Linked DNA regions of Stegostoma tigrinum. The protein of the gene in region 1 interacts with the protein of each later gene in a pairwise test. Links are inferred from orthologs where the notes say so. Each region holds a gene or a part of one and is shown in the gene's direction. Other genes may lie near its edges. The genes, in order: efhc2, lonrf1l, cacnb4a and testis-specific serine/threonine-protein kinase 3-like.

Region 1 (7,566 bases):
CGAGCTGCAAAATGGTAGAAAACTGAAACAAATTATTGGCGAAACTCACTTCTGATGCAGTCACTTACTCTGGGAAGTATTGGACTGATTAAGAAGTGCGAGGGTCGAAACATTAACTCTGCTTTTTTTCCCCTCCCCAACAGATGCTGCCTGACCTGCTGAGTTTCACCACCATTTTTTTTTAAAGCAGATACACAGTACACCCAGGTTTGTATACTTCCACCTTCCTTTTAAATCCTCATTAACTGCCACTCTTCGAGCTCTTCTGTTCTCTTCCCTTGCTGAGAATTCTTGGGACAATTTCAGGTTAGAGGCGCTATGCAAATAGTTGCTCCAAACTTTTTATTAGTTTTAATCTCAGCTATCGATGGGAGGTAGGAGCAATGTATTATTTGCTTCAGCAGCAAGTCAGGTAAAAACGGAATCTGGAGGCATGAGCAAGAGCCGGATAATTTGGAAGAGGATGCAGCGACTGCCAATTAATACGGATGGAGACTATAACAAAATATGAACCATCAAGACCCAAGGAATGAGTGATAATGGGAACTGCAGATGCTGGAGAATCCAAAATATTGAAATGTGAGGCTGGATGAACACAACAGGCCCAGCAGCATCTCAGGAGCACAAATGCTGATGTTTCGGGCCTAGACCCTTCATCAGAGAGGGGGATGGGGTGAGGGTTCTGGAATAAATAGGGAGAGAGGGGGAGGCGGACCGAAGTTGGAGAGAAAAGAAGATAGGTGGAGAGGAGAGTATAGATGGGGAGGTAGGGAGGGGACAGGTCAGTCCAGGGAAGACGGACAGGTCAAGGAGGTGGGATGAGGTTAGTAGGTAGGAGATGGAGGTGCGGCTTGGGGTGGGAGGAAGGGATGGGTGAGAGGAAGAACAGGTGAGGGAGGCAGAGACAAGTTGGACTGGTTTTGGGATGCAGTGGGTGGAGGGGAAGAGCTGGGCTGGTTGTGTGGTGCAGTGGGGGGAGGGGACGAACTGGGCTGGTTTTGGGATGCAGTGGGGGAAGGGGAGATTTTGAAGCTGGTGAAGTCCACATTGATACCATTGGGCTGCAGGGTTCCCAAGCAGAATATGAGTTGCTGTTCCTGCAACCTTCGGGTGGCATCATTGTGGCAGTGCAGGAGGCCCATGATGGACATGTCATCTAAAGAATGGGAGGGGGAGTGGAAATGGTTTGCGACTGGGAGGTGCAGTTGTTTATTGCAAACCGAGCGGAGGTGTTCTGCAAAGCGGTCCCCAAGCCTCCGCTTGGTTTCCCCAATGTAGAGGAAGCCACACTGGGTACAGTGGATGCAGTATACCACATTGGCAGATGTGCAGGTGAATCTCTGCTTAATGTGGAAAGTCATCTTGGGGCCTGGGATAGGGGTGAGGGAGGAGGTGTGGGGGCAAGTGTAGCATTTCCTACGTTGCAGGGGAAGGTGCCGGGTGTGGTGGGGTTGGAGGGCAGTGTGGAGCGAACAAGGGAGTCACGGAGAGAGTGGTCTCTCCAGAAAGCAGACAGGGGTGGGGATGGAAAAATGTCTTGGGTGATGGGGTCGTGATTGTAGATGGCGGAAGTGTCGGAGGATGATGCGTTGTATCCGGAGGTTGGTGGGGTGGTGTGTGAGAACGAGGGGGATCCTCTTTGGGCGGTTGTGGTGGGGGCAGGGTGTGAGGGATGTGTTGCGGGAAATGCGGGAGACGCGGTCAAGGGCGTTCTCGACCACTGTGGGTGGAAAGTTGCGGTCCTTGAAGAACTTGGACATCTGGGATATGCGGGAGTGGACTTCCTACAGACTAAGGGGGTGGCCATGGGCCCCAGCTATGCCTGCCTCTTTGTAGGTTACGTGGAACAGTCCCTCTTCCGCACCTACACAGGCCCCAAACCCCACCTCTTCCTCTGTTACATTGATGACTTTATCGGCGCCGCCTCTTGCTCCCCAGAGGAGCTCGAACAGTTCATCCACTTCACCAACACCTTCCACCCCAACCTTCAGTTCACCTGGGCCATCTCCAGCACATCCCTCACCTTCCTGGACCTCTCAGTCTCCATCTCAGGCAACCAGCTTGTAACTGATGTCCATTTCAAGCCCACCGACTCCCACAGCTACCTAGAATACACCTCCTCCCACCCACCCTCCTGCAAAAATTCCATCCCCTATTCCCAATTCCTCCGCCGCCACCACATCTGCTCCCACGATGAGGCATTCCACTCCCGCACATCCCAGATGTCCAAGTTCTTCAAGGACTGCAACTTTCCACCCACAGTGGTCGAGAATGCCCTTGATCGCGTCTCCCGCATTTCCCGCAACACATCCCTCACACCCCGCCCCCACCACAACCGCCCAAAGAGGATCCCCCTTGTTCTCACACACCACCCCACCAACCTCCGGATACAACGCATCATCCTCCAACACTTCTGCCATCTACAATCTGACCCCACCACCCAAGACATTTTTCCATCCCCACCCCTGCCTGCTTTCTGGAGAGACCACTCTCTCCGCGACTCCCTTGTTCGCTCCACACTGCCCTCCAACCCCACCACACCCGGCACCTTCCCCTGCAACCGCAGGAAATGCTACACTTGTCCCCACAACTCCTCCCTCACCCCTATCCCAGGCCCCAAGATGACTTTCCACATTAAGCAGAGGTTCACCTGTACATCTGACAATGTGGTATAACTGTATCCATTGTACCCAGTGTGGCTTCCTCTACATTGGGGAAACCAAGTGGAGGCTTGGGGACCGCTTTGCAGAACACCTCCGCTCGGTTTGCAATAAACAACTGCACCTCCCAGTCGCAAACCATTTCCACTCCCCCTCCCATTCTTTAGATGACATGTTCATCATGGGCCTCCTGCAGTGCCACAATGATGCCACCCGAAGGTTGCAGGAACAGCAACTCATATTCCGCTTGGGAACCCTGCAGCCCAATGGTATCAATGTGGACTTCACCAGCTTCAAAATCTCCCCTTCCCCCACTGCATCCCAAAACCAGCCCAGTTTGTCCCCTGATAATAAAATGTGAGGCTGGATGAACACAGCAGGCCAAGCAGCATCTCAGGAGCACAAAAGCTGACGTTTCGGGCCTAGACCCTTCATCAGAGAGGGGGATGGGGAGAGGGAACTGGAATAAATAGGGAGAGAGGGGGAGGCGGACCGAAGATGGAGAGTAAAGAAGATAGGTGGAAAGAGTATAGGTGGGGAGGTAGGGAGCGGATAGGTCAGTCCAGGGAAGACGGACAGGTCAAGGAGGTGGGATGAGGTTAGTAGGTAGATGGGGGTGCGGCTTGGGGTGGGAGGAAGGGATGGGTGAGAGAAAGAACCAGTTAGGGAGGCAGAGACAGGTTGGACTGGTTTTGGGATGCAGTGGGTGGGGGGGAAGAGCTGGGCTGGTTGTGTGGTGCAGTGGGGGGAGGGGACGAACTGGGCTGGTTTGGGGATGCAGTAGGGGAAGGGGAGATTTTGAAACTGGCGAAGTCCACATTGATACAATTAGGCTGCAGGGCTCCCAGGCGGAATATGAGTTCTATTCCTGCAATCTTCGGGTGGCATCATTGTGGCAGTGCAGGAGGCCCATGATGGACATGTCATCTAGAGAATGGGAGGGAGAGGGAACCATTTCCACTCCCCCTCCCATTCTCTAGATGACATGTCCATCATGGGCCTCCTGCAGTGCCACAATGATGCCACCCGAAGGTTGCAGGAACAGCAAATCATATTCCGCCTGGGAACCCTGCAGCCATATGGTATCAATGTGGACTTCACCAGTTTCAAAATCTCCCCTTCCCCTACTGCATCCCCAAACCAGCCCAGTTCATCCCCTCCCCCCACTGCACCACACAACCAGCCCAGCTCTTCCCCCCCACCCACTGCACCACACAACCAGCCCAGCTCTTCCCCCCCACCCACTGCATCCCAAAACCAATCCAACCTGTCTCTGCCTCCCTAACCTGTTCTTCCTCTCACCCATCCCTTCCTCCCACCACAAGCCGCACCCCCAGCTACCTACTAACCTCATCCCACCTCCTTGACCTGTCCGTCTTCCCTGGATTGACCTATCCTCTCCCTACCTCCCCACCTATACTCTCCTCTCCACCTATCTTCTTTTCTCTCCATCTTCGGTCCGCCTCCCCCTCTCTCCCTATTTATTCCAGAACCCTCTCCCCATCCCCCTCTCTGATGAAGGGTCTAGGCCCGAAACGTCAGTTTTTGCGCTCCTGAGATGCTGCTTGGCCTGCTGTGTTCATCCAGCCTCACATTTCGTTATCTAAGACCCAAGGAATGACGGCCGCTGACCTTCTCAAGATGGCGAACTATTTCTTGTCGTGTTTGTCGAATGCATCACACATTCGAATTTAGGAAAAACAACAACGGATTGAATGGAAGTCGGTGCAAGCAAAAATGTGAAACTGGGACAGAAGGGTTCACCGCGCAAGAATCTGCCAAAAAAAGTTTTTTTTTGTTGAAGCCCTTCTTTTAATGGCGGAATGTACGGCCCAGCATAGCGACGTCACTGTCACCGAGGCAACGGAGACTCAAACATAGAGAAGAGCCTGGAGCAGAGGAAACATGACTTTACCACTCTTACCTGGGAACACATTCAACAAGAATGTGAGTAACTTCTCTGCAAGTAATAAAAATCGACACATTTAAGAAACTGTTTTCTCTTTCAAAATTGACTTCAACACCAACCTTTGAGGAAACCCCGGGGAGTAAATGTTTGCTTGTTTGTAACTCATTTTTTAAACAAAAATTTCCATACTGTTAACATTCAACATTGTTATTCCTACTTTCTGTGCACGAGTAGTAAATACTTCCTGCAGGGTTTTGGCTAGTTGGCACAACACTGTATGAGATTGTCAGGGTGGTCACAGTTGCGTCTTAATGTTTAGAGGGAACCACTGCACTGACAATGATTGAAAATACCACTAATAAAAGGCCTGGAATATTCTCAGGGCTGGTGGTGCACTGGTTTCTTTGTTTGGAGATGATCACACCAAACTATCCAGCTGCCTACAGAAGAGATGAGTAGAGTGAACACTGGGTTGGATAGGTGTTCTGTTTGATATATGAAAACTGTCATTCAAAAGATGTCATCCATTGGAATTCCCACTTCCAATGGGTTCATGTCTGCACTTCTTGCAGTTTTATAACATTGAGTGATTGTTGAAAGATGCTTCCATCATTTTACAGGAAATTCCCCAAGTGACCACCAACAACAAAGCCCGCTCCAGCAATTCCTCCTTTTGGCCTCAAGTGCTAAACTTAGAGTGCTGTTAAATTGGCCTCTTGCACCCAAGACAGTCCTCCCTTCCTCCTTCTGTCTCATGCCTTGTACAGCCTTCACTCTGCTGACCTTACTAACTTCAATCTTTAATCTCTGTTAAAGATCTGCTTTTCTTTCAGCCCAAAAACATGGAGACTGAAAGTCTTGTCACAGTTAGCCCTGTTGCTTCAGCCTTTATTTTCAGGTATGAACATCTTGCACCTTGCTGTCAGTAAGTCTTAACATGTGCAATCCTGTCCCTGTGGAAACCACGTAGGCTTGTTGTCAAACAGAATACAAAACAGATCACATTACCAATTTACCTTAAACTATGGAGATGGTTTAAAACAATATTCTAAAATCTTGGAGATAGTAAGAACTGCCGATGTTGAATTCAGAGATAATCGTGTGGATCTGGAGGAGCACAGCAGACCAGGCAATGTCAGAGGAGCAGGAAAGTTGACGTTTTGGATCAGGACCTTTCTTCTAAAATCTTGCATTTGTACCAAAGCCACCATCTGAGTTGGAACTGTATGACTAATCCTTCACTGTCAGGAATTCTAAATCTTGTAACTCCCTTCCTAACAGTACTGTGAGTGCAGACAAGATGGATTCAGCAATTTAAAATGTGGCTCACCAGCACCTTCACGAAAGCAATCCAGGATGAGCAACAAATGCTGGCCTTGCTGGCTCACACCCTATAAACAAATCTATTTTTGAAGAAAGGGGCAAGCTCACCTTTATAAAGCAGGTTTACTTATGGATTTGAAAATGTGACTTGTGATACTAGGTGCACTTTTATCCTAAAAAAAATTGAGTAAACATAACTTTCTAAAACAACAGAAAAAGTGCAATTTTTTGAAGTTCTTTCTTCAGCCTAAATGACCTATTTATATTTTCTTTGGGTGTCTCAATGCCCAAGGATCACCAATTTATGTTAATAATTGTGTTTCTGATTGTCAGGGCAGAGTTTCAGACGGAAGCCGTTTCATACTGCCTTTATGCAAGTGTCCAAAACCCTCTAATTATTTGAGTTCATCAACGTTAAAATTTTACTAGGTGATTTTTTTTATTATAGAAGGAAAAAAGGTAGAGGTGTAAAATGTGATACTATGATAATTTTGTGTATCACTATCAAATCTATATGAAACAGATTTGAAGATGATTTTGCATTTAAATTGCTGAACTGCATTTTAGTTTGTATTTGAGCATTCTCTTTGAAGGTTTGTACTTATTCTATCTTTAGAAGGAGTTGCTTTAATATTCTGTTTGGTCGATTCAAAGTGTTGTATTAACAGCAGGTGGTAGAATTAACTACTATGAAATTGAGCACATTTTTAAAAGACTTACAAGTGACTACAAAACTATTCTGCTACTGCTGCTGTTACAGAACTGAAGACCCGAAACCATTGCTTCTGTTTCTAATATTTCTCCCACCACCCCCCTTTTATTTTTCTCTTTACTTCTTCTAGATTCTTTAATGTTATCATGCCTTCATTCATTTCTTCTCTTAGGCAATCTATCTTCCCCAATCGCTGCCCAAGTCATCAGGAATCTTCCATCTATTGTCCCATGCATGCTCCATATCTAATAAACCTACAGCTTCCCTCCATGCCCCTCTTGTCATATCTGATGGGTCTATCAAGGCACATTTCTAGGTAGTTAGAAAAATTTTCGATTTGAGTTAAAAAGGAGGTCATGTGGATGAAGTCACATCAAAGATACCCTCCATTCTGTTGTTAGGCACTAACACTTAAATAGGATGGACTTGAACAGATCAAGCAGCTCTGTAATGTGAGTAGAATTGTAATTAACCGCAATCTGTAATTTCATTGCCTGGCAAAGTTCTACTCTACCACAACGATCATACCTAAAAATAAGGTTTCAGCCTGGTGAAGTGACAACACAGGTACAGCTACAACATTGGCATCTACCCAGCAATGTGGAGCATTGCCCAGTTATATCCTGTGCAAAAAAAGCAGGAAAATCCAATCCCGCCAATACTGCCCTAGCAGTCTACTCTCCATCATTAGTAAAATGGTGAAATCAGTGACCGTACTATCAAGTGGCACTTGCTTGACAATTACCTGCTATTGATGTTCAGTTTGAGTTCTGCCAGGTCCATTTGGCTCCTGACCTCATTACAGCCTTGGTCTAAACATGGATCGAAGAACTGATCTCCTTAGGTGAAGTGAGTGACTGCCTTGATGTCAAGGCAGGATTTGACCAAGTATGGCACCCAGGAACCCCAATAAAGCTGCAGTCAGAGGAAAAACTGTTACACTTGGCACAAAGGAAAATGGT
Region 2 (7,546 bases), on another chromosome or scaffold:
AGCTACTTACACTCTTAGCACGTTGTAATTAATGGGTTGTGAACATTCTATCTTGCTTAGGGCATAAGATTAAGTGTTTCCTGAGCCTAATTAACTTTCACATCTAGGTTTAAACGCTTTTCCGCTAATGCTTACATTATACGTTGTTTATATATTGAAAACTACTTCTATGATTAAGGATACTTAAACTAGAGTCTATTTAATATTGCAGATAGTTTCAAAGAAGCAACTATTTACTACAAAGTAACTTTAGCTGTTTACTTTTGCAGTTGCCGAGGGACTTAATCTAGGACCTCATGCTATTCATTTACTGGAACAACCATCCTTTTAAAATAAGGTTAAAATTAGTCACTTATCTGTCCTTAGGCATCCTTTTATCAGAGCTTCCTCAGATGGGAGCACACAGCATTCCTTTACTGACCTTCTGTCTGCTTTGTTCAAAGGTACCATCGTATATCATTGTGTGAACAGGCTGCTTAGTTTTGAAAAGCTTCTGTATGCCATTTTGTAAGCAGGCATGGACTATTTTGCCCCTCCAAGTACTACTTCTGAAATGTGGTGAGCACCCATGATCTTTGCAGTAACAGAATGATTTGGAGACCCGTGGCTGAGGTACCCTGACATACCATCAGTCACTCTGTCAAATTGTCAGTCTGTCATTCAGTCATTCTGTTAGTCAGCCTATAACCCAGGCAGTTAGTTTGTATTTTCCCTGACTGTCCCAAACGCAGTCAGTCTGCAAGATAACAAAGTGTGGAGCTGGATGAACACAGCAGGCCAAGCAGCATTTTAGGAGCACAAAAGCTGACATTTCGCCCTAGACCTTTCATCAGAAAAGGGGGATGGGGAGAGGATTCTGAAATAAATAGGGAGTGAGGGGGAGGCGGTCTGAAGATGGATAGAGGAGAAGATAGGTGGAGAGCAGAGTATAGGTGGGGAGGTAGGGAGGGGATAGGTCAGTCCGGGGAGGATGGACAGGTCAAGGGGGCAAGATGAGGTTAGTAGATAGGAAATGGAGGTGTGGCTTGAGGTCGGAGGTGGGGATAGGTGAGAGGAAGAACATGTTAGAGAGGCGGGGATGAGCTGGGTGGGTTTTGGGAAGCACTGGGGGGAGGGGAGATTTTGAATCTTGTGAAATCGATATTGATACCATTGGGCTGCAGGGTTCCCAAGCGGAATACGAGTTGCTGTTCCTGCAATCTTCGGGTGGCATCATTATGGCACTGCAGGTGGCACCAGGATGGACATGTCGTCTAAGGAATGGGAGGGGGAGTTAAAATGGTTCGCGACTAGGAGGTGCAGTTGTTTATTGTGAACTGAGCATAGGTGTTCTGCAAAGCAGTCCCCAAGCCTCTGCTTGGTTTCCCCAGTGTAAAGGAAGCCACAACGGGTACAGCGGATGTAGTATACCACATTGGCGGATGTGCAGGTGAACATCTGCTTGATGTGGAAAGTCATCCTGGGGCCTGGGATGGGGGTGAGGGAGGAGGTGTGGGGGCAAGTGTAGCACTTCCTACGGCTGCAGGGTAAAGTGCCGGGTGTGCTGGGGTTGGTGGCAAGTGTGGAGCGGACAATGGAGTCCCGGAGCGAGTGGTCTCTCCAGAAGGCTGACAAGAGTGGGGATGGAAAAATGTCTTTAGTGGTGGGGTGGGATTGTAGATGGCGGAAGTGTCGGAGGATGACACGTTGTATGCGGAGGTTGGTGGGGTGGTATGTGAGAACTAGGGGGATTCTTTTTTGGCGGTTATTGCGGGAATGGCGTGTGAGGGATGAGTTGCGGGAAATGCAGGAGACTGTGTCGAGGGCGTTCTCGACAACAGTGGGGGGATCTTGCGGTCCTTGAAGAACGAGGACATCTGGGGTGTATAGGAGTAGAATGTCTCATCCTCAGAGCAGATGTGGCGGAGGCAAAGGAATTGGGAATAGGGGATGGAATTTTTGCAGGAAGGTGGATGAGAGGAGGTGTATTCTAGGTGGCTGTGGGAGTCGGTGGGCTTGAAATGGACATCAGTTTCTAGCTGGTTGCCTGAGATAGAGACAGAGAGGTCAAGGAAGGTGAGGCATGTGTTGGAGATGGTCCAGTTGAACTTAAGGTTGGGGTGGAAGGTGTTGGTGAAGTGGATGAACTGTTCGAGCTCCTCTTGGGAGCATGAGGCGACGCAGATACAGTCATCAATGTAACGGAGGAAGAGGTGGGTTTTAGGGCCAGTGTAGGTGCAGAAGAGGGGCTATTCCATGTAACCTACAAAGAGGCAGGCATAGCTGGGGCCCGTGTGGGTACCCATGCCCACCCCCTTTGTCTGTAGGAAGTGGGAGGAATCGAAAGAGAAGTTGTTGAGGGTGAGGCCAAGTTCGGCCAGGCGGATAAGGGTGTCGGTGAAGGGGGACTGGTCGGGTCTGCGGGACAGGAAGAAGTGGAGGGCCTTTAGGCCATCTGCATGGTGACTGCAGGTGTATCGGGACTGGATATCCATGGTGAAAATGAGGTGTTGGGGACCAGGGAATTGGAAATTCTGGAGGAGGTGGAGGGCGTGGGTGGTGTCATGGACGTAGGTAGGGAGTTCCTGGACCAAGGGGGAGAAAATGGAAGCCAGAGAGTTGGAGATGAGTTCAGGGGGCAGGGGCAGGCGTAGATAATGGGTCGGCCAGCGTAGGTGGGTTTGTGGATTTTGGGAAGGAGATGGAAGGGGGCAGTGCGGGGCTGGGGAACAATGATGTTGGAGGCTGTGGGTGGGACGTCTCCTTAGGTGATGAGGTGTGAGTGGTTTGGGAGATGATGGTTTGGTGCTCGGGGGTGGGATCATTATCCGGGTGCGGTAGGAGGAGGTGTCGGAGAGTTGGTGTCTGGCCTCGGCGATGTCGAGGTCAGTGCGCCAAACTGCAACTGCGCTTCCCTTGTCTGCGGGTTTGATGGTGAGGTTGGGGTTGGAGTGGAGGGCAGCACGTTCTGCAGGACAGAGGTTGGAGTGGGTGAGAGGGGTGGAGAGGTTGTGGCAATTGATATCTAGAGGGCAGTTGGAGATGAAGAGGTCAAGGGAGGGTAGGAGGCCTGAGGGTGGTGTCCAGGAGGAGGACTTGTGTTGGATTTCACAAGCTTCAAAATCTCCCCTCCCCCCACTGCATCCCAAAACCAGCCCAGCTCATCCCCACCTCCCAAACTTGTTCTTCCTCTCACCTATCCCCTCCTCCCACCTGAAGCCACACCTCCATTTCCTACCTACCAACCTCATCCCGCCCCCTTGACCTGTCCGTCCTCCCCGGACTAACCTATCCCCTCCCTACCTCCCCACCTATACTCTCCCCTCCACCTATCTTCTCCTCTATACATCTTCAGTCTGCCTCCCCCTCTCTCCCTATTTATTTCAGAATCTTCTCCCCATCCCCCTTTTCTGATGAAGGGTCTAGGCCCGAAACGTCAGCTTTTGTGCTCCAAAGATGCTGCTTGGCCTGCTGTGTTCATCCCGCTTCGCACTTTATTATCTCAGTTTCTCCAGCATCTGCAGTTCCCATTATCTCTGTCTGTCTCATATTCAGTCAGTCTCTACTCTGCGTGTATGTCCCACGCTCAGCCTTTGTCTGTTTGTTTGTCTGTCCCACACTCAGTCAGGTGGTACTTTGCCTAACTGCCCCACATGGTCACACTATATTCTGTCCACCTGCCTGTCCCACACGTCACATTGTTCTCCCCTCAGTCTGTATTCTATGTGTGCCACACCCAGTCAGACTGTAATCTGTCTGCCTGGCCGACCTCACCCACACTCAGTCTGTATTCTATGTGTGCCACACCCAGTCAGACTGTAATCTGTCTGCCTGGCCGACCTCACCCACACTCAGTCTGTACTCTGTCTGTTCTACACCCAGTCAGACTGTAATCTGTCTGCCTGGCCGACCTCACCCACACTCTGTATTCTATGTGTGCCACACCCAGTCAGACTGTAATCTGTCTGCCTGGCCGACCTCACCCACACTCAGTCTGTACTCTGTCTGTTCTACACCCAGTCAGACTGTAATCTGTCTGCCTGGCCGACCTCACCCACACTCAGTCTGTACTCTGGCTGTTCTACACCCAGTCAGACTGTAATCTGTCTGCCTGGCCGACCTCACCCACACTCTGTATTCTATGTGTGCCACACCCAGTCAGACTGTAATCTGTCTGCCTGGCCGACCTCACCCACACTCAGTCTGTACTCTGTCTGTTCTACACCCAGTCAGACTGTAATCTGTCTGCCTGGCCGACCTCACCCACACTCAGTCTGTACTCTGGCTGTTCTACACCCAGTCAGACTGTAATCTGTCTGCGTGCCCCGCCCTCTCCCATGTTATGAAACTTTTGCCGCAGTTATTTTGTACTGTTTGTACAGCCTTCTCCCCTCTCTCGGTCTCCTCCAATGACAGCTGCGCTCTCGAGCACGTGCCAGCCGCAAGAGGGGCGGAGAACGCATGCGCCCGTCACTCGAGCGATGTCAGTGGTTCCGTGCGGAGCTCTTGTTCCCGGACCCACCGGCGTTGTCCATCCCGGGAAGAAGCCTGGGCCCACGGCTGGGGAACAAAGGTCATTGCGGCCTGACCAGTTGCGTGACCTGGTGCACTGTCTCCTGCACCGCTTCAAAAGAAGAGCTGGCGGCCCAAACGGAGCTGGTGTCCCGGCTGGGGAAGGCCTCCTGGAGTGTGGCGGCTGTTGTGGGGAGTTGCTGGCCGAACCTGTCACCCTGCGCTGTGGGCACACCTGGTGCCGGCGCTGCCTGTGGAGGAGACCTCGCTGCCCGGCTTGTGGCGAGGAGGTGGCCAGCGCTCAGTTTCTGCGACCGAACGTCATTCTGAGCCACTTGATTACTAAGTGGTTCCCGGCGGAGGTCAGCCTGGCCCGGGATAAAATCAAACTGGAGGAGCTGCTGGCCCAGTGCCGCTTCTCAGAGGCATTGACCCTGCTGGAGCAACTGGAACTGAGTGAGTGGGGACACTTGGTGTACTTAGAGGTCTCTTTAAGGTTCACTCCCTGTGACTGACTGTTCCCGTTGTGTAAACGGAACCGTGTGTTTTATAAATGGAGACTGCCCCCGCCAAGAACTCAACTCCTCCAGGAGACTGATTGGCGTATTGTTTCTTTTACGGTTTTTGCACTTTGATTTCTGCTCTCGGACCGTAAGGATGAAGCAATGACAACTTCTGTTATTCATAGGCGTGCAGCCTTTCCCTTCCAAGAGGGCGGTGTTCTTGTTATGTAAACAGTACTTACAGTTGGTTACTCAGAAGTGACTGTGACACTTTGTTGCGTTGAGTCCCGTTTATTTGCCAGGGCATTTCTTGCAGCTTCTCTTTCTGTATTCTGAAATAATCGTGCAATCAAATAGGTTAAAGTGGAGTTTGTCGGGGGTGGTGTAAAATGTGGTAACCGTGATCAAATCATTTACGTTTTCAAAATTCAGTGGGCAGTAAGAGTTGCTTCTATTGTGTGACATCACTGTTTCCAGTTTTTAATCGGTTTGAGTTTTGATTTGCACTGGATCATACTGTACTTGCATTCTCAGACGGTAATGAAAACAAGCGTCCAACTAGGCAGTTAAAAATGTGGAGAGATGACTGTCGAGAAAGAGGAATTGCCAGACCAAATCACAAGCTTGAGAGAAGTCAATAGTAATTAAAACTGAACAAAGTAATTTGTTTTCAAGATTGAAAATGTCATCTTCCCAGAATTTGTCAGACCATGTTTTTTGCCTTCATGAGGTGTAGAAAAAGACATGACTGAGACAGTGACCCTTAATGCCTATCATTTTATTGCTCATCATTGTCCTTGAACAGGTGGTGGTGAACTAGCTTCTTGAACTACTGCAGTGTTACTCTCATCACAATACTAAATCTTAAAATATCCCAACTCCTAGTTGTTTCTTCATCATACTGCTGGAAGATTGCATGCTCTTCATTATTATTGCAGATTAGGTTTACCCAGTCTATGCATAATTGAATTCAACCAATATTATTGTATCGCTCTCATTAAATACATTTCTAATGTCCTGATTTCTACTGTGCCCAACGTTACTACTTGTACTGTTTGGTGGCCTGTTTTTTTAAAAAAAACTTGTCAATATTTGCTGTCCATTTCTGCTCCTCACCTCTCCTACACCTTGATCCTTCAATGTAGGTTCCTTCCTAACTATTATACTGATCACATTCTTCATTAAGAGCACTATCCCACCTCATCTGTCTTTTCACTTATGCCTCTGAAATGTTGAATAATTGCAATTCCCAATTTTGGTTACCCTTTAGTTACATCTTTGTAATAATAAATAAATTATACCTGTTAACTTGAATTCGTGTCTTTAAAACAGCAACTTTATTTTTAATCATGTGTACATTGATAGGGTACCTTTAATTCTGCCTTTTTAACATTATTTTGCAGTCTGCTATTTGATGTTTGCTTTCACAACTTTTACTTTGTAATTTTGTGTATTACCCCTTTATTTCCATTGCAGTTTTGTTTCCTCCAATGTGATTTCCCACAGTGGTTCCTTTTCATCTGCCAGTCCAGTCTAAACCCTGCCCAACTGCGATAGCAATTTTCCTTGTAAGGATATTAGTCTTGGCTCCATTTTGATGCAGGTCCACCATCTTATTGAGGTGTCCTTTGCGCAGAACTGGCCCTGATGCCCGCATTTTGAATCAATCAGTCAATCTATTCTTCTGTTCTCATGCTGAACTGGGAGTAATGATGTCCTCGTTCTTCAAGGACCGCAAGTCTCTCTCCCCACCCCCCCCCCCCCCCCCCCCCTGCCGGTGGTCGAGAACGCCCTTGACCATGTCTCCCACAACTCATCCCTCACACCCCACCCCCCACAATAACTGCCAAAAGAGAATTCCCCCTAGTCACCTCCAACCCCACCACACCCGGCACTTTCTGCTGCAACTGCAGGCAGTGCTACACTTGCCCCCACACCTCCTTCCTCACCCCCATCCCAGGCCCCAGATGACTTTTCACATCAAGCACATGTGTACCTGCACATCTGCCAATGTGGTATACTGCATCTGCTGTACCTGTTGTGGCTTTCTCTACATGGGGGAAACCAGGCGGAGTTTTGGGGATTGCTTTGCAGAACACCTACACTCGGTTTGCAATAAACAACTGCACCTCCCAGTCGCGAACCATTTCAGCTCCCCCTCCCATTCCTTAGACAACATGTCCATCCTGGGCCTCCTGCAGTGCCATAATGATGCCACCCATAGGTTGCAAGAACAGCAACTCATATTCCACTTGGGAATCCTGCAGTCCAATGGTATCAATGTTGATTTCACCCACCTCAAAATCTCCCCTCCCCCCCACTGCATCCTAAAACCAGCCCAGCCTATCCCGACCTCCCTGACCTGTTCTTCCTTTCACCTATCCCTTCCTCCCACCTCAAGCCACACCTCCATTTCCTATCTACTAACCTCATCCCGCCCCCTTGACCTGTCCGTCTTCCCCGGACTGACCTATCCCCTCCCTACCTCTCACCTATACTCTCCTCTCCACCTATCTTCTCCTCCATCCATCTTCGCTCTGCCTCCCCCTCTC
Region 3 (7,361 bases), on another chromosome or scaffold:
AGGTAAGATAGGCTGTTGTGATTTTCTTTGAGTGGAAGAGGCTGAAGAGAGTTTTCATTGAGTTGCATGAAATTACGATAGGCCTCTACAGACTGGGTTGGAAATCCCAATGTCCAGCTATTAGTCTATACATTTTGGTACCTTAAGTGCAAAATCAATTTTTTGCAGTGATAGGCCTCTACAGACTTAAGAATTATAGAATCCCTGCAGTGTGGAAGCAGGCCATTTGGCCCATCAAGTCTACACTGACCCTCAAAACAGCATCCCACACAGACCCCCAAAATCCCTCAGCAGAGAAGTCAATAACTGGTGTTGTGTGAGGCAGACCCAGAACCATTAGGGAGCAGTGGAGGACATTTTTTGTTCACTCAGTGAGTGGTGGAGATCTCAAATTCACTGCCTGAAAGGGTGTTAAAGTTGAAGTCTTCACTGCAAAAAATTGATTTTGCACTTAAGGTACCAAAATGTATAGACTAATAGCTGGACATTGAGATAAGACTGGATAGCTCTTTTTCAATCAGCACAAAACTGTGCTTTATCATTTAATGATCAGTTGTTATGACACAGAAGGAGGCTATGGTCCATCGTGCCTGCACCAACTCGTCAAATGAGCAATTTTAACCGCATGTTAATCTGCTGCTTTTCCCCATACCCCTGCATGCTATTTTATTTTAAATAGTCATCCAATGCCCTTTTAATGCTGCAAGTGAAACTGCCTCGATCACATTTCCAGGCACTATATTCCATACCCTAACTGCTCGCTGTGCGCAGGTTTTTCTAACATCACCTTTGCTGCTTTCACACATCACTTTAAATCTATGTCTTCTATTACAAGCAGAGCAACTTAAGAATTATAGAATCCCTATAGTGTGGAAGCAGGCCATTTGGCTCATCAAGTCTACACTGACCCTCAAAACAGCATCCCACACAGAACCCCAACTCCCCACCCCTGTAACCCTGCATTTCCCATGGCTAACCCAACTGGAATGCACATGCATTAACCCTAAGGGCAATTCAGTGTAGCCAATTCCACTTAACCTGCACATCTTTGGACTGTGGAACGAAACTGGAGCACTGACAGGAAACCCATGCGGACACAGGGAGGATGTGCAAACTCCACACAGGCAGTCACTCAAGGCTGGAATTGAACCTGGGTCCCTGTCACGTGAGGTAGCAGGGCTAACCACTGAGCCACTATGCCACCCTACTCTACCCAGGCTGTATATTTTTACACAAAGTAAATGTGGTATCCCATTCCAGAATCTTGAGAGTTCAGTGTCATGTATGAAAATCCTGCATGAATGATGATCACAGACCTTTGATAACCTGCAGCTCCCATTGCATCAAGCTGGCAAGCAACTCAACTTGGTCCTAATTAGCCATTTATTTCTTTCCAATTTTCTGTGGTAAATTTTGCATATCTCTCTTCTGAAGTCACTGATTTCTTGTTGAAGTTTTGTCCTGCAGGTACTTTCCTGCTCAGTAGAAATGTCGTTCTTCCTTTGTGATCTTCAACATTGCATACTTGTGGACATTCTAAAGGTAGCAATGCTGTAACACTTGAGAGTTATCATCACCTGGTACTAATAAGTGTAGTGATCAGAAGAAAAACTCTGGCTAAGGTTCGTGTTCCTAAATTAAAGCACAATGACCAACTCCATGGCCTCTATTAGATCTATTTAAATTTCAAATATGGAATATAGAACAACAAAGAACTTACAGCAAACTGGACCACAATTATCCTTATGTTACAAATGGACACCCTTTTATCCTATTTCACACAATAATCCTCATGTTGTTTTGATAGTCATTGAAAAGAAATCCTATGAATTCATTCTAGCGGCTGAAAACATTTTGGAATACTGCATTCAACTCTTCTCTCCCTGCTCTTAGAAGAGTGTTGTTAAACTTGAAAGGGTACACAAAATATTTGCAAGGATGTTGCCAGGGTGGGAGGGTTTGAGCCATGGGGAGGGGCTGAATAGGTTGTGGCTATTTTCCCTGGAGCATCAGAGGCTAAGGGAGTGACTTTTTAGAGGTTTATAAAATCATGGTGGTTATGGATAGGATCAATAGCTGAGGCCTTTTTCCCAGGATATGGGAGTCCAAAACTAAAGGGCATTTACTTAAGAGATAATGGGAACTACAGATGCTGGAGAATTCCAAGATAATAAAATGTGGGGCTGGATGAACACAGCAGGCCAAGCAGCATCTCAGGAGCACAAAAGCTGACGTTTCGGGCCTGGACCCTTCATCAGAGAGGGCATTTACTTAAGATGAGAGGGGCAAGATATTAAAGGGGCCTAAGTGGCAATTTTTTCATGCAGAGAGTTGTGCGTGTATGGAATGAGCTGCCAGAGGAGGTGGTCGAGGCTAGTACAATCACAACATTTAAAAGGCATCTGGATGGATACGTGAATAAGAAGGCTTAGAGGGATATGGGCCAAATGCTTGCAAATAGAACTAGATTAATTTAAGGTAACTGGTTGGCATGGACAAGTTGGACCAATTGTCTATTTCTGAGCTGTACGTGTCTATGACTGTCTGACTCTACGCTTTCAGGAGTTTAGACAAAAGAGAGGTGAATGCAATGAAATGTTCAAGACCATAAGTTAGACTGACAGATGCTGGCAGCTGTTTTTTCCTGACCTAGCAATAGAGAACTAGGAACAGAGCCTAAAAGCAAGGGGCCAATTGTTTAAAACTGAGATGAGGTGCAATAGCTTCACTGAAAGGGCTCTGAATCTGTTGAATTCACTAACTCAGAGGGTTGTGCATGTATCAATACATGCACCAATATTCTTAAGGCTGCGAATAGGCATGTCTCAAGTCTCTCAGGGATGTGGAGGTGGATTGCGAACGTGAAACTGAAACCAAAGTGATGATCAGCGATGGTCATAGAGTCTTTTAAGAAAGGAAGGTATGTTTATGTCAATCTTACCTGAATAGGGAGGTGAAGGCCTAGTGGTCATGGTAGGCAACTAATCCAATGACCCAAACCCTGAGATCTGGTTTTGAATCCTGCAGTGGTAGGTGAATTCAACTCTTTAAAAAAAAGGAATTAAGGATCCCATGATGATTGTTTGGGGGTTAAAAAAAATTCACTAATGTCCTTGAGGGAAGGAAACTGCCATCTTTACACGGTCTGGCCCACATGTGACTCCAGACCCAGAGCAATGTGTTTGACTTTTAAGCAAATTCTGGGCAATTAGGGATGGACAATAAACACGGATCCAGTCGGTGGAGTGCACACTCTGTGAATGAAAATGAGGAAAAAAATCTGGGCCAGATGTGACTCCGGATTCTTAACTACCCCGTGAAATGACCTAGCAAGCTACTCAGTTCGGGGACAATTGGAGGTGGATAATAAATGCTGGCCTCAGTGGCAACCGCGTCAATATGGGAATGCATAAATTCAAATTAAAAAAAAGTGAACGCCGGTTTTCTCCTGCTCGTCGTGTTGTTTTGAAGCGCCGACACTGGGGTTCTGAAAAGTTCAGAAACTGGCACAATCGCTTTCTGTTATTGTATCATTGCTGTATATGCAGATACTGTCCCTGGAAAGATCAACTGGTGTCACCGTCCTGAAATGGAATAAAGTAGCTTCATTTTTTCCCCAAAAAAAAACAAAACCAGAAATCGCCGGAAAAGCACAGCAGGTCTGACAGCTTCTGTGGCGAGAAATCAGAATGAACGCTTCGAATGGAGTGACCGTTCCTCTGTAGGTAGCGGGGGGGGGGGGGGATGGATTTTAAATCCACGCCAGGGATAGTTCAGGAAATGCACAGCCATGTGTCAAACATTGTGCACCTGAGCACTGCCGAGGCGCTGAGATTATTTAATCTGCACTTCTCTATAATAAAGACTCGTGGTAATAATTACAAACATGATGACCTGCCACTCGTAATTCTTCCTGGCGGTGCAAATGATCCAAAAAAACGATGCGTTTGCTGCAGTCGTTAGATTGGGACGTCTTTCGCACAGGAGGAAAAAAAAGGCTGTAATTTCCCCGCCAGCTCCCCGAAGGTGAACAGCCCTGACTGTACAAACTGCGTTGAACACACCAGGCACATCTCCGCGGACAGGAGGCCAGATTGCACAAGGTCATTCTTCCCAGCCCGGTTCCTAATTTTCCTCGCTGCATTACTGACCCCTCCTCCTGTCATCCCTCCCCCTCCCTAGGCGGATATATTTCTCGCCCCGGTTTCCTCCTATAATTCCTGACACCTTCCTGACTGGCTGCAGGGGGCTGTGGGGGTGGTGAGGGCAGCTACGGCCGTGCCTGGGACTGAGTGAATTCCTGAGGGGGAGGGGTGGGAGGTGTAGGGATCAGACGGTGGGTACGGTAACTCACCCCTCCCTCTTCCATCAGCCAGACAGCACGTCTCGATGGCCAGCTCCAGCGGCTAGTGAGAGCCACCAGGGGCTGGAGTAGCGCCAGCTCGATGGACTGGATCCCTCATTCCAGCTAAAGCAGCTCCAGCAGCGTCCCGAGCTCATGATCTATCTGAAGATGTCCGGAGTTGGACCTTTATTCACCAAAGACATTCCAGGCGATGGGCTACAGCCGCCCATCTTTCAGGTAAGGGATTGCCTCAAATTATTAACCTCTGAGGAAGGGTCACTCGACCCAAAACCTTAATTCTGATTCCTGTCTGCAGATGCTGCCAGATCCGCTGAGCTCTTCCAGCAATTTCTGTTTGCGTTTCTGAAATTGTTAGGGGGGGGGGGGGTTGACAGGCTCCTTTCTCCTGCACGCCAATTTGTGATTTATTTTGCATGACCGTAGCCTAAACAGGAGCGTGAACTGATGTTGAAATAATCAAAAAAGTGCTACTTTTAATTATTCCATTCCGTGAGCACGCTCAGATAAGGAATGCAACTTCTCTTTTTCTAAGGTTTCCCCTCTCATTGTAAAGAGAAACTTTTTTTGCAAATTAATTCTGTAAGGCTGATTCCTTTTTATTAGAAAAGACAGTTCATTTTTTCTAACGCGTTGTATGTTATTGCTACGGCCCACTGATTCAATGTTATATGATTTGACAGTTAAATCGAGCAGCAATTCATTCACGTATCCCCTTTCTCTTCCCTCCTCCCATGTTCGGCAAGTTGACCCGGGTGAACAGGAGGAGGAGCAGGTTGAAACGTTCCGATGGAAGCACATCGTCCGAGACAACTTCCACCAGCTTCATTCTCCGACAGGTAGGGCACGATAGATGTTTTCCAATCAACCTTTCCTGAGGAGGCGGAACTTGAGCCCTGATCCCCTGGACGAGAGGTAGGGACGTTACCACTGTGTATCAGGGGACCTAAGCAAAGACTAGGATTCTTCTCCCTGCACTTCGTGGACTTCGTCAGCAGAAAATCCTCGGTAAATGCTCATGACAGCGATTCCTGAACTTTTGAACCCATTAATTAAAAGTACTACCACCGTGACATTGCAGCTTTGTGACACTTGATAGCCTATTTAGCCCTGAAGAAATTTAAATATGGCACAATTTATATTTTTTGATAAGGAGATATATTGACTTTGCCAGCACGTTCTATTTTCTTTCCATTAAAGCCTTTTATTTAAATCTGAGAAAGCTGTTATAATATAAATTGGGTCTAATTAGCATTATCCATTAGTGTCATCACTAATAGCATAATGATTACAAGCTTGAAGAAGGGTTTCGGATTTAGAGATGTGACTTTGTTGATTGATAGAGATAATTTTGACTCTCAATGAGTTGCCAGAGGAAGTGGTGGAGACAGGTACAACTACACTATTTAAAAGGCATCTGGATGTATATATGAAGCAGAAGGGTTTAGAAGGATATGGGCTACATGCTGGCAATTGGGACAGGATTAATTTAGGATATATGGTCAGCATGAATGAGTGGACCGAAGCGTCTGTTTCCAAGCTATACTGCTGTATGACTCTACTATGACTTGAAGGTTGTGAGTTGGGGATAGGAGGCGTTTGTGGGCAGCTAGGAGCGGTGGTGATTTTTTGTTTCAGATTCCCTTTGATTGGCTTAATGTCATGACTAAACGCAAAAGGTCGAAAAGTGGATGACCCCATTTACAACCGTCTGAAATGAGTATTGCCAAAAAAAAGTTATGCCAGACAGGAACACTCTGGAATGAGCTTCTCTGCTCTAACAACTGTAATGTTCCAGATTAAGAAATGTTGCTGCTGCTCTACGTTCAGATCAAGAATCTATACTGAATATACTTGTGTCACTAAGCTGTGACATGCCTAGAGTTTAGTATGTTACCACCCTCATGATTCCATGCTGCTGGGCAGATTGAGAAAATGACATTTGTGAAAATGAATATTTTTATTCATTCATGGGATGTCAGTGAAATTGTCAGCATTTACTGCTTATCCTGAGTTCCTCTTGAACTGATGATGTGATTAGACGCTAAAATAAAGTGGATTACAATCTACAACAGTTGTGTTAGAGATGTACTGCGTTTTTAAACACATACACAACTTTGAATGAAAATCACAGAAGCATTCTTCACATTTATGTTTTGCTATATTGTGCACAAGTGCAAATCTTTAATCATAATGTTTATTTAAAATTTTTTTTTATTGATGAACACATTTATATAGCATCTAATCATGTCATCAGTGATGTCACAGAGCTCTCAGGTAATCTGTACCATATTTACTACTGTAAAGGTGAGATGCAGCAGCCATTTTGCGCAGAGCAATACTCCACCAACAACAATAAGGCAAATTAGCAATTAATCTATTTATGGTAGCTTTGGGTGAGGAAGCAACATCAGAAATGGCATTGGGAGGGTTTGGTGGTTCTTTCTGATTAGCAGTATCAATCTTTAATATCTGTCTGAGGGCCTTGGTTTCACAATGCATTCAAATGGTAGGAGCTCTGGCAAAACACCACTGTTCAGCTATCAAGCTGAATTATACATTGAAGACTTGGTCTGATGCAGTCATAAGATGATTCTCCTTGGCCATCAATGCTACATTGTGATGGAAGAAATCTGCATTCAAATTATTGAACTCAGCAATTGCAACAATTCCATGCACTGTATCCACTCACTTTGATACTTTGAACCTGAAAACTCCCATTTGAGTGATTATGGTATTATAGGCTAAAGAAAACTTATTACATGTATGTACATAGTTTTGAATTATATTTATGAAGATTCAGACAATGGGTGAGGGCAGTGCTGTGGATGTTGTGTATTGGACTTTCAGAAAGCATTTGGTATCATGCCACATGGCAGTTTGGTTAACAAATTTAAAAATGTTTGGGATTAATGTGTCTTTGACAGCATGGATTAGTTGTTGGGTAACGGATGATAAGTAGAGATGGCCATTTCTCAGATTGGAGACAAATTCAAAG
Region 4 (7,773 bases), on another chromosome or scaffold:
TTTCTTCCGGGTGCTCCGGTTTCCTCCCACAGTCCAAAGATGTGCAGGCTAGGTGGATTGGCCATGCTAAATTGCCCGTAGTGTTCAGGGGTGTGTGGGTTAAAGGGGGATGGGTCTGGGTGGGAAGCTTCAAGGGGCGGTGTGGACTCGCTGGGCCAAAGGGCCTGTTTCCACACTGTAGGGAATCTAATCTAATATAAACAAGGACATAGCAGATGAAATTAACAAACATTTTGGGTCAGTCTTCACTATAGGTCATAAAAACATTCCAGTAACATCTGCTAATGCGGAAATGGAAGGAAGGAAGGAATTTATTGAAATTACAACCACAAGGGAATGGCACAAACCAAACTAATGGAATTGTGGGCCGATAGGTTTCCAGGTCTAGATGCATTTTATTCTAGGGTCTTAAAAAAGGTGCTAATGAGGCAATTGATGCATTGGTGTCAATTTTCCAAAATTCACTTGATTCAGGAAAGATTAGATTAGATTCCCTACAGTGTGGAAACAGGCCCTTCAGCCCAACAAATCCTCACTGCCCCTTGAAGCATTCCACCCAGACCCATCCTCCTATAACCCACACACTCCTGAACACTACGGACAATTTAGCATGGCCGATCCACCTAGCCTGCAGATCTTTGGACTGTGGGAGGAAGCCGGAGCACCCGGAAGAAACCCGCACAGACAGTTGCCTGAGGTTGGAATTGAACCCAGGTTCCTGGGGCTGAGGCTGCAGTGCTAACCACTGAGGCACTGTGCCATTTAAAGGTACCATCAGACTGAACGCCCTCCCGCCCCCATTTATGAACAAGAGGCAGAAAACTATAATGCAGTTGTTACCTTGCTGTCTGTCTTGGGAAAGGTGATAGGCCCAACTGTTTCATGTAGCTGCACACTTCGGAAAATTCTAGTAATCAGGAAAAGTTGGTGTGTTTTGCTGTAAAGGAAATTATGTTTAACCAATCTATGGGTGTTCTTTATTCTATAGGAAAAGGGAAGCTTGCCACTTTACTGTTCTTGGATTTCCAAAAGGTTTTTTGATGGAGTGCAACATCAAAGGTTAGTATGCAAACATAGCACATAATCAAAAAGGCTAATAGGATGTTATTATTTATTGCACGAGGAATTGAACATCAAAAAATAAAGGTATTATGGTTCAATTATATAGGGCAGTGGTAAGACCACATTTTAAATACAGAGCCAATGTAGACACGATGGTCCAAATGGTCTACAGTGTTGTAACTCCTCTGTGATACTGTGTGCAGTTGTGGTCTTCATTTTTAAAGATGGATATAAATTGATTGGAAGTGTTTCAAAGTATGTTCACTAGATTGATACCTAGAACTTGTAGATCGTCTGAGGAAAGTTTAAACAGGCTGAGCTTGTTTCCACTGGAGTTTGGAAGAGTGTGGAGTGACTTTAGACAAGGAAAGGAAGTTTCCACTTGTGGGTGGATCCCGAACAAATAGACACTATTTTAAACTCAGGGTTCACCCTTTCAGGGCAGCGATCAGGGGACTTTGTTTTTCTCTTAGAAGTCTGTGTGACTTTGGAACTCTCCATTAGAGGCAGAGTGATTGAATATTTTAGAGAAGGTCAACAGATTCTTGGAGGTAGGGAATCAAGGGTTTTTGGGAGTAGCTGGGAATGTGAAAACAAATAGGCCATGATCGCATTAAATGATCTAGCAGGCTTGAGGGCTGAATGGTCTACTTCTACTCCTGCTTTCTATGTTGAGAAGGGACTGATGGTGTAGTGATTGGTCTGGTAGAATTTTTATTCATAATACATGTCAGATTAGTACTAGTGTTACAGCCACAGAGGGGGCCATTACTGCTTCCAGCATGCTCAGGCACCAATTAATATCATAGTAAGGCAATCAGATTAGGTGAAGATTGGCATTTGTGGTCGTGAGGACCTCAGGAAGAGACTGAGATGAATCATCAACTTGACATTCCTGGATTAGGAGGATTTCAAATGTTACAGCCTTTTTTTTTATACATTTGTGCAATCTTCATTGAATTTCCAGATGTGTGTATGTGGAGCTCATTCCCCTGGCAGCATATGACTGTTGCTCCTTCCAGTGGGTGTGTTCTGGTGGTGGGGCAGGGCTTATGCAGGCATAGTGGTGGTAGTGTCAGGGACATAAGGTGTAGGTAATAATTGCGAGTGAAACTGTTGCTTGGCTGGTCTGTAGAACAGCTCTCCTAATTCTTTATAGATGTCCCCAGATATTAGTAAGAAGAATATCGCAGGTTTGGCTGGGTAGGGTATGTCTGAAAACAATGCTAAATGGTCAACATGTTTTATTCTTGAATGTTACTGGTTTAGTGAATTGTACCAACTTAATAGAGCTAAGCGGTTTGCTGATGAAGGGTGTAAATCTGCAATGTTGACTTTCCTGCTCCTCTGATGCTGCCTAACCTGCTGTGTTCATCCAGCAATATTCTATACGTGCCTTCCTGCTCCTAAGATGCTGCTTGGCCCGCTGTGTTCATCCAGCTCCACACCTTGTTATCTCAGATTCTCCAGCATCTGCAATTCCTACTATCTCCGAAACAATTTTAACCACATCATATTGAGTGGTTTGCTGGCAGTTTAGGAACAAAGAAGCAAAGATTACATTATTCACCTGGAGTCATGTGTAGCCCAGACTCTGTAGCACAGATTTCCTTCCCTCAAAGGCATGAGTGAACCACGGAGGTTCTTTATAAATCCAGTAGTTTCATAGTCATTATTAAGATTAGCTTTATATATTTAAGATTTATTCAGTTAATTGAATGAAAACTCTCCCTGAATCAGCAGTGCAGTAACTGCCATCATCTTTGTCACATTTGCGTCGCAATAGCATAGACATTTTAATCAAATTTTCCAAAACTTCAACTATTGAGCTATTTGTAATTACAACTGTCCCTGGTAATTTCACAATCCTGATCACTCGACATTGTATTGCGGATGGTTTCCAGGAGAGCTATCTCAAACACAACATGAAGACAACCGTGAGAGTCTAGCGTGTGATCCTCGCTGCTGCTGTCTGTAAAATGACCCTGTTCCTCTCCGATATCAAAGGAGCACCAGCTTCCAGAAAGAAGCGGACCAGCAAAAACTTGGCAGTCGGCAATCTACATCCCAAACCAAACATAGAACATAACAGCACAGTACAGGCCCTTCGGCCCTCGATGTTGGGCCGATCTGTCATACCGATCTCAAGCCCATCTAACCTACACTATTCCATGTATGTCCATACGCTTGTCCAATGACGACTTAAGTGTACCTAAAGTTGGCGAATCTACTACCGTTGCAGGCAAAGCATTCTATTCCCTTACTACTCTCTGAGTAAAGAAACTACCTCTGACATCTGTCCTATATCTTTCACCCCTCAATTTAAAGCTATGCCCCCTCGTGCTCGCCGTCACCATCTTAGGAAAAAGGCTCTCCCTATCCACCCTATCTAACCCTCTGATTATTTTATATGTCTCAATTAAGTCACTTCTCAACCTTCTCTCTAATGAAAACAGCCTCAAGTCCCTCAGCCTTTCCTCGTAAGACCTTCCCTGCATACCAGGCAACATCCTAGTAAATCTCCTGTGCACCCTTTCCAAAGCTTCCACATCCTTCTTATAATGCGGTGACCAGAACTGTACACAATACTCCAAGTGCAGCCACACCAGAGTTTTGTACAGTTGCAGCATAACCTCTTGGTTCCGGAACGCGATCCCTCTATTAATAAAAGCTAAAACACTGTATGCCTTCTTAACAGCCCTGTCAACCTGGGTGGCAACTTTCAAGGATCTGTGTACATGGACACCGAGATCTCTCTGCTCATCTACACTACCAAGAATCTTACCATTAGCCCAGTACTTTGCCTTCCGGTTATTCCTACCAAAGTGCATCACCTCACGCTTGTCTGCATTAAACTCCATTTGCCACCTCTCAGCCCAGCTCTGCAGCTTATCTATGTAACAGCACGGATTTTTCACAAATGGAAAGTTTATCAGTGTACCAATCAAAAAGGACAAGGCTCGAGGTCATATTGAAAAGGAAAATGAACATTATCATGGTGTAGAGTTGGACTAGCTTTCGGGGTGAGAATGATGATGGCAGCAGCGGCGGCTGGACAGACCCCATTCTCTCAGACCGCCCTTGGCGAGGTTTTGAATTGATGTCATCAAGTGGAACGGCGTCATTTTCCCCATTCCTTGGCGGAGCTGACACATGTTGAGCTGTGGTTTGACAGAGATTTCCTGAGTTTGTGTGAGGCGCTGTGCTTTAAGGGACTTGGTGAAGGAAGTTGGCGGGGGGAGAGAGAGGAGAAGGTCCGGAGCTTCCCTTCTCGGCGCTAACTAGAGGCTCCAATCCGAACCAACTAACTGCTTACAACCCAATCCTTGATTTGTTTAAAGACTTTTAAAGCAATGACTATCAGCGAGACAGCTTGAGCAGACAGCACAAAGTCTCCTTAGTAACAGGTAAATTATGGCATCATAATGAAGTCATATTTATATCCACTGGCATGGTTTTGCCTGGGCGGTCACACCCGGGATTGCTATTTTTTTATATAATGTCCGATTTTAGAAATAAGCTGGGAAGCCGAGAAACATTGGGTAGGTTGCGTGGAACTGGCTAAATTGAGGAATGTGATCGTTGAAACTGGTTAAGAAAGTGGATGAGAAGCGATGGAAAAACTGCTCCTGTCTAAAGGATATCAACTTGGGAACACGATCGGGGAGGGGACTTATTCCAAAGTGAAAGAAGCTTACTGCAGAAACCAGCAGAAGAAAGTGGCCATCAAAATCATCAACCGCCAGACAGTACCAAAGGGTAAGGCACACAGCGGCTGAGCAACTTCTTAAAAATCGTCCCAGTTCATTAGCTACGGAATTCACGTCCACCTGATGACGTGCAGCTAATCAGTGAAGCAACCAATATTACATCAGTAGCTTGTGTTCTGCTTCAAGTGCTATGACATTTATTTTATTTTAAACTAAGGTCTGCGCACAGCGAGTAACTCCCCCGAAATGAAGATTTCACCTAGAGTAGAGACTAAGTGGGACCAACTCGAACATCACTTGGAGTCCATACGTTAACTAAAAATACATGACTAATTCTAAATGATTCTCGACTATTCAGAAAAACCCCAACAAAATAAGGCGGAGAGAATTTTTCAGTTTCCACTCACTGTTTAAAAGGGTCTGTTCATTTGGACTTTCACTTTCCAACTCATTTTTTAAATCCCAGGATCAGTAATTCGTTGCACTCAAGTGACCCGCTCCTTTAGTGTATAGCCTCACTTTCCCGGTTTCAAAATTGTTATTCCGGTTGTTGCTAGTATCTCATGAAGTCCGAGTGGCGAGCAAAGCGCCAGCTCTTCCACGACCGGAGGAGATGTTAGGGGAATCCAGCAGGAGTTTTAGATTTAGAGTGAGAATTAAGATTTATTATTCATTACGCCAGTGTGTGCATTGACCGATCAATGATTCATATCCCTTATTTCATAAAATAGCAGTATTTGTTCTGTAATCAGGATATCATTAAATAAAAATAAATTTTTAATGACCAGCAGCTAAAGACAACATATTTAAAAAGTAAACAAAACAGTCAAAACTTTTAAATCTGCAAGTTACCACAATCCCAAAGGACTAAGGGACTACTCTCTCATGAGAGAGAGAGAAAAAGACAACCGAGGGTGGTTTAACATGAGGGGCACCAAGCCTCAGGCGAGGGGACAGGTTGTAAAGGAGAGTTCCTCGTGTCTGATACTTAGAAAGATAAGGCTGCAGCTGTGAAGAAAACATGTTTCGGATCTAAACCTTTCTGCAATGGAAAAGTGGAATTAAATTTGAAACAGCGCATGAACTACAGAACAAGAACAAGAGACGAGGGCGGGGGGAGAAAGTGGTAGAATAAATGCTAAAAGATTTAAGAATGTGTGAACAGCAGGGACAATTCTGAATTAACTAGAATCCAACAACCCAATAGGAAATAAAATAGAAAAACAAATCTAGATTCGGAATTTGGTTCAAGTGTAAAGTAGTCAGTATGATCACCTTTAACATTTTTCCGCCATTTTGCTGGGAGCTAGGGGAGGTAACGTCCAGACAAGGGACGCCCCATTGTATTCCGAAACACAATGTTCATGAGTAATTTCAATAATAAAATGTACAGACAGCCGCTTGGTTGACATACGCAGCCAATGCAGAAACAGAAATGTTACACCTTACTGGCTTCTGTTAGGCTACAATTTCGCAGACGAATTAATCAGGTACTTTTTTTTTTAAATATGCAATTTGAGTTAGTCATTCGATAACTCAAACATTTGTTTACAAGATATTTTCTAACCAGGCAGATGTTATTACACAATTCTGGAGCAGGTCAGCCTTGAGCCTAGGATAACAGTGTGGAGCTGGATGAACACAGCAGGACAAGCAGCATCTCAGGAGCATAAAAGCTGACGTTTCGGGCCTAGACCCTTCATCAGAAAAAAGGGTCTAGGCCCGAAACGTCAGCTTTTGTGCTCCTGAGATGCTGCTTGGCCTGCTGTGTTCATCCAGCTCCACACTTTATTATCTCGGATTCTCCAGCATCTGCAGCTCCTACTATCTCTGATCACAATTTCAGCCTTGGGCCGAGGCCTGGTAACCCGGGAGGTAGGGACATTACCACTGCGCTACAGCAACACCTCAATATTGGGTTTCTTTATATATCTGGATAGGATGTATGCAGCCTTTACACACTCGCGAAAGAAAACAGTTGTTTTTAAATCCATTACTACAATTGGGTGTTACTGGCAAACCCAGCACTAACGGCCAATCCCTAATGCTGCTGAAACCCCTACTCAGAGCAGACCGCACCTAGTCAATAATCAAAGGGTCATGTAAGCAAAATGTTAATCACGTAAGACACACAACAGGCTTCAACCTATAAAATATTGCATTTTCCGTTTCTAGATTTCATCCACAAATTTCTCCCACGAGAGCTGCAAATAGTACAGAACTTGGATCACAAAAATATCATTAAGGTTCACGAAATCTGGGAGAGTGATGATGGCAAGATCTGTATAATCATGGAGCTTGCAGAAGGTGGGGATGTTCTGGAACACATCAAAAAGGAAGGGCCGTTACCAGAAGAACTGGCAAAAACCTTATTCCGTCAACTTGTAGCAGCAATTCGATACTGTCACGACTGTGGTATTGCTCACAGAGATCTGAAGTGTGAGAACACTCTGCTGGATAAAAGCTTCAATGTGAAGTTGGCAGACTTCGGCTTCGCTAAGAATTTCCGGACCGGGACAGCTGAGTTAAGCAAGACATTCTGTGGTAGCACAGCTTACGCTGCACCAGAGGTTCTCCAGGGAGTTCCACATGAGAGCATCAAGAGTGACATCTGGAGTATGGGCATTGTGTTGTACATCATGCTGTGCGGACACCTGCCTTTCGATGACTCCAACATTCCCAAGATGTTGTGGCTGCAGCAGAACGGGGTGGCATTCCCGCAGCACCTGGAGCTGAGCCGAGAATGTCGAGACCTTGTTGGAAGATTGTTGGAACCCGATTGCAGTCTGAGACCTCCAATCCAGGAGGTCTGCTTCCATCCATGGTTATCAGACAGCCAATAAACATGAGAATCAAAACTGGTCGTTTCACCTTTTTAAAAAAGGTTACAGGGCAGTATACAGGGTACGAATGAACACTGGCTGCTGGCATGGAACCTAATTTCCAGAGTGTCCAAGATAATTGGAAAGACACGGTCCTAACGTTTGTCACTAGGTGGCAG

What was found.
Region 2: the proteins of efhc2 (region 1) and lonrf1l interact in binary tests that used the Homo sapiens proteins (3 or more experiments, as listed by UniProt). The two-hybrid records come from large-scale screens. The link is inferred for Stegostoma tigrinum from reciprocal best matches to the Homo sapiens genes EFHC2 and LONRF1.
Region 3: the proteins of efhc2 (region 1) and cacnb4a interact in binary tests that used the Homo sapiens proteins (3 or more experiments, as listed by UniProt). The two-hybrid records come from large-scale screens. The link is inferred for Stegostoma tigrinum from reciprocal best matches to the Homo sapiens genes EFHC2 and CACNB4.
Region 4: the proteins of efhc2 (region 1) and testis-specific serine/threonine-protein kinase 3-like interact in binary tests that used the Homo sapiens proteins (3 or more experiments, as listed by UniProt). The two-hybrid records come from large-scale screens. The link is inferred for Stegostoma tigrinum from reciprocal best matches to the Homo sapiens genes EFHC2 and TSSK3.

The regions. Positions count from the first base shown.
Region 1 is NC_081365.1:42,803,340-42,810,905, forward strand, and holds the start of efhc2 (EF-hand domain-containing family member C2), read left to right. Parts: upstream 1-4,490; 5' UTR 4,491-4,565; coding exon 4,566-4,607; intron 4,608-7,566. UniProt on the Homo sapiens protein: Microtubule inner protein (MIP) part of the dynein-decorated doublet microtubules (DMTs) in cilia axoneme, which is required for motile cilia beating.
Region 2 is NC_081354.1:109,817,861-109,825,406, reverse strand, and holds the start of lonrf1l (LON peptidase N-terminal domain and ring finger 1, like), read left to right. Parts: upstream 1-4,388; coding exon 4,389-4,947; intron 4,948-7,546.
Region 3 is NC_081360.1:87,471,885-87,479,245, reverse strand, and holds the start of cacnb4a (voltage-dependent L-type calcium channel subunit beta-4a), read left to right. Parts: upstream 1-4,298; 5' UTR 4,299-4,498; coding exon 4,499-4,582; intron 4,583-5,109; coding exon 5,110-5,202; intron 5,203-7,361. UniProt on the Homo sapiens protein: The beta subunit of voltage-dependent calcium channels contributes to the function of the calcium channel by increasing peak calcium current, shifting the voltage dependencies of activation and inactivation, modulating G protein inhibition and controlling the alpha-1 subunit membrane targeting.
Region 4 is NC_081377.1:46,954,873-46,962,645, forward strand, and holds the start of testis-specific serine/threonine-protein kinase 3-like, read left to right. Parts: upstream 1-4,518; 5' UTR 4,519-4,676; coding exon 4,677-4,821; intron 4,822-6,947; coding exon 6,948-7,615; 3' UTR 7,616-7,773. UniProt on the Homo sapiens protein: Serine/threonine protein kinase required for spermatid development and male fertility.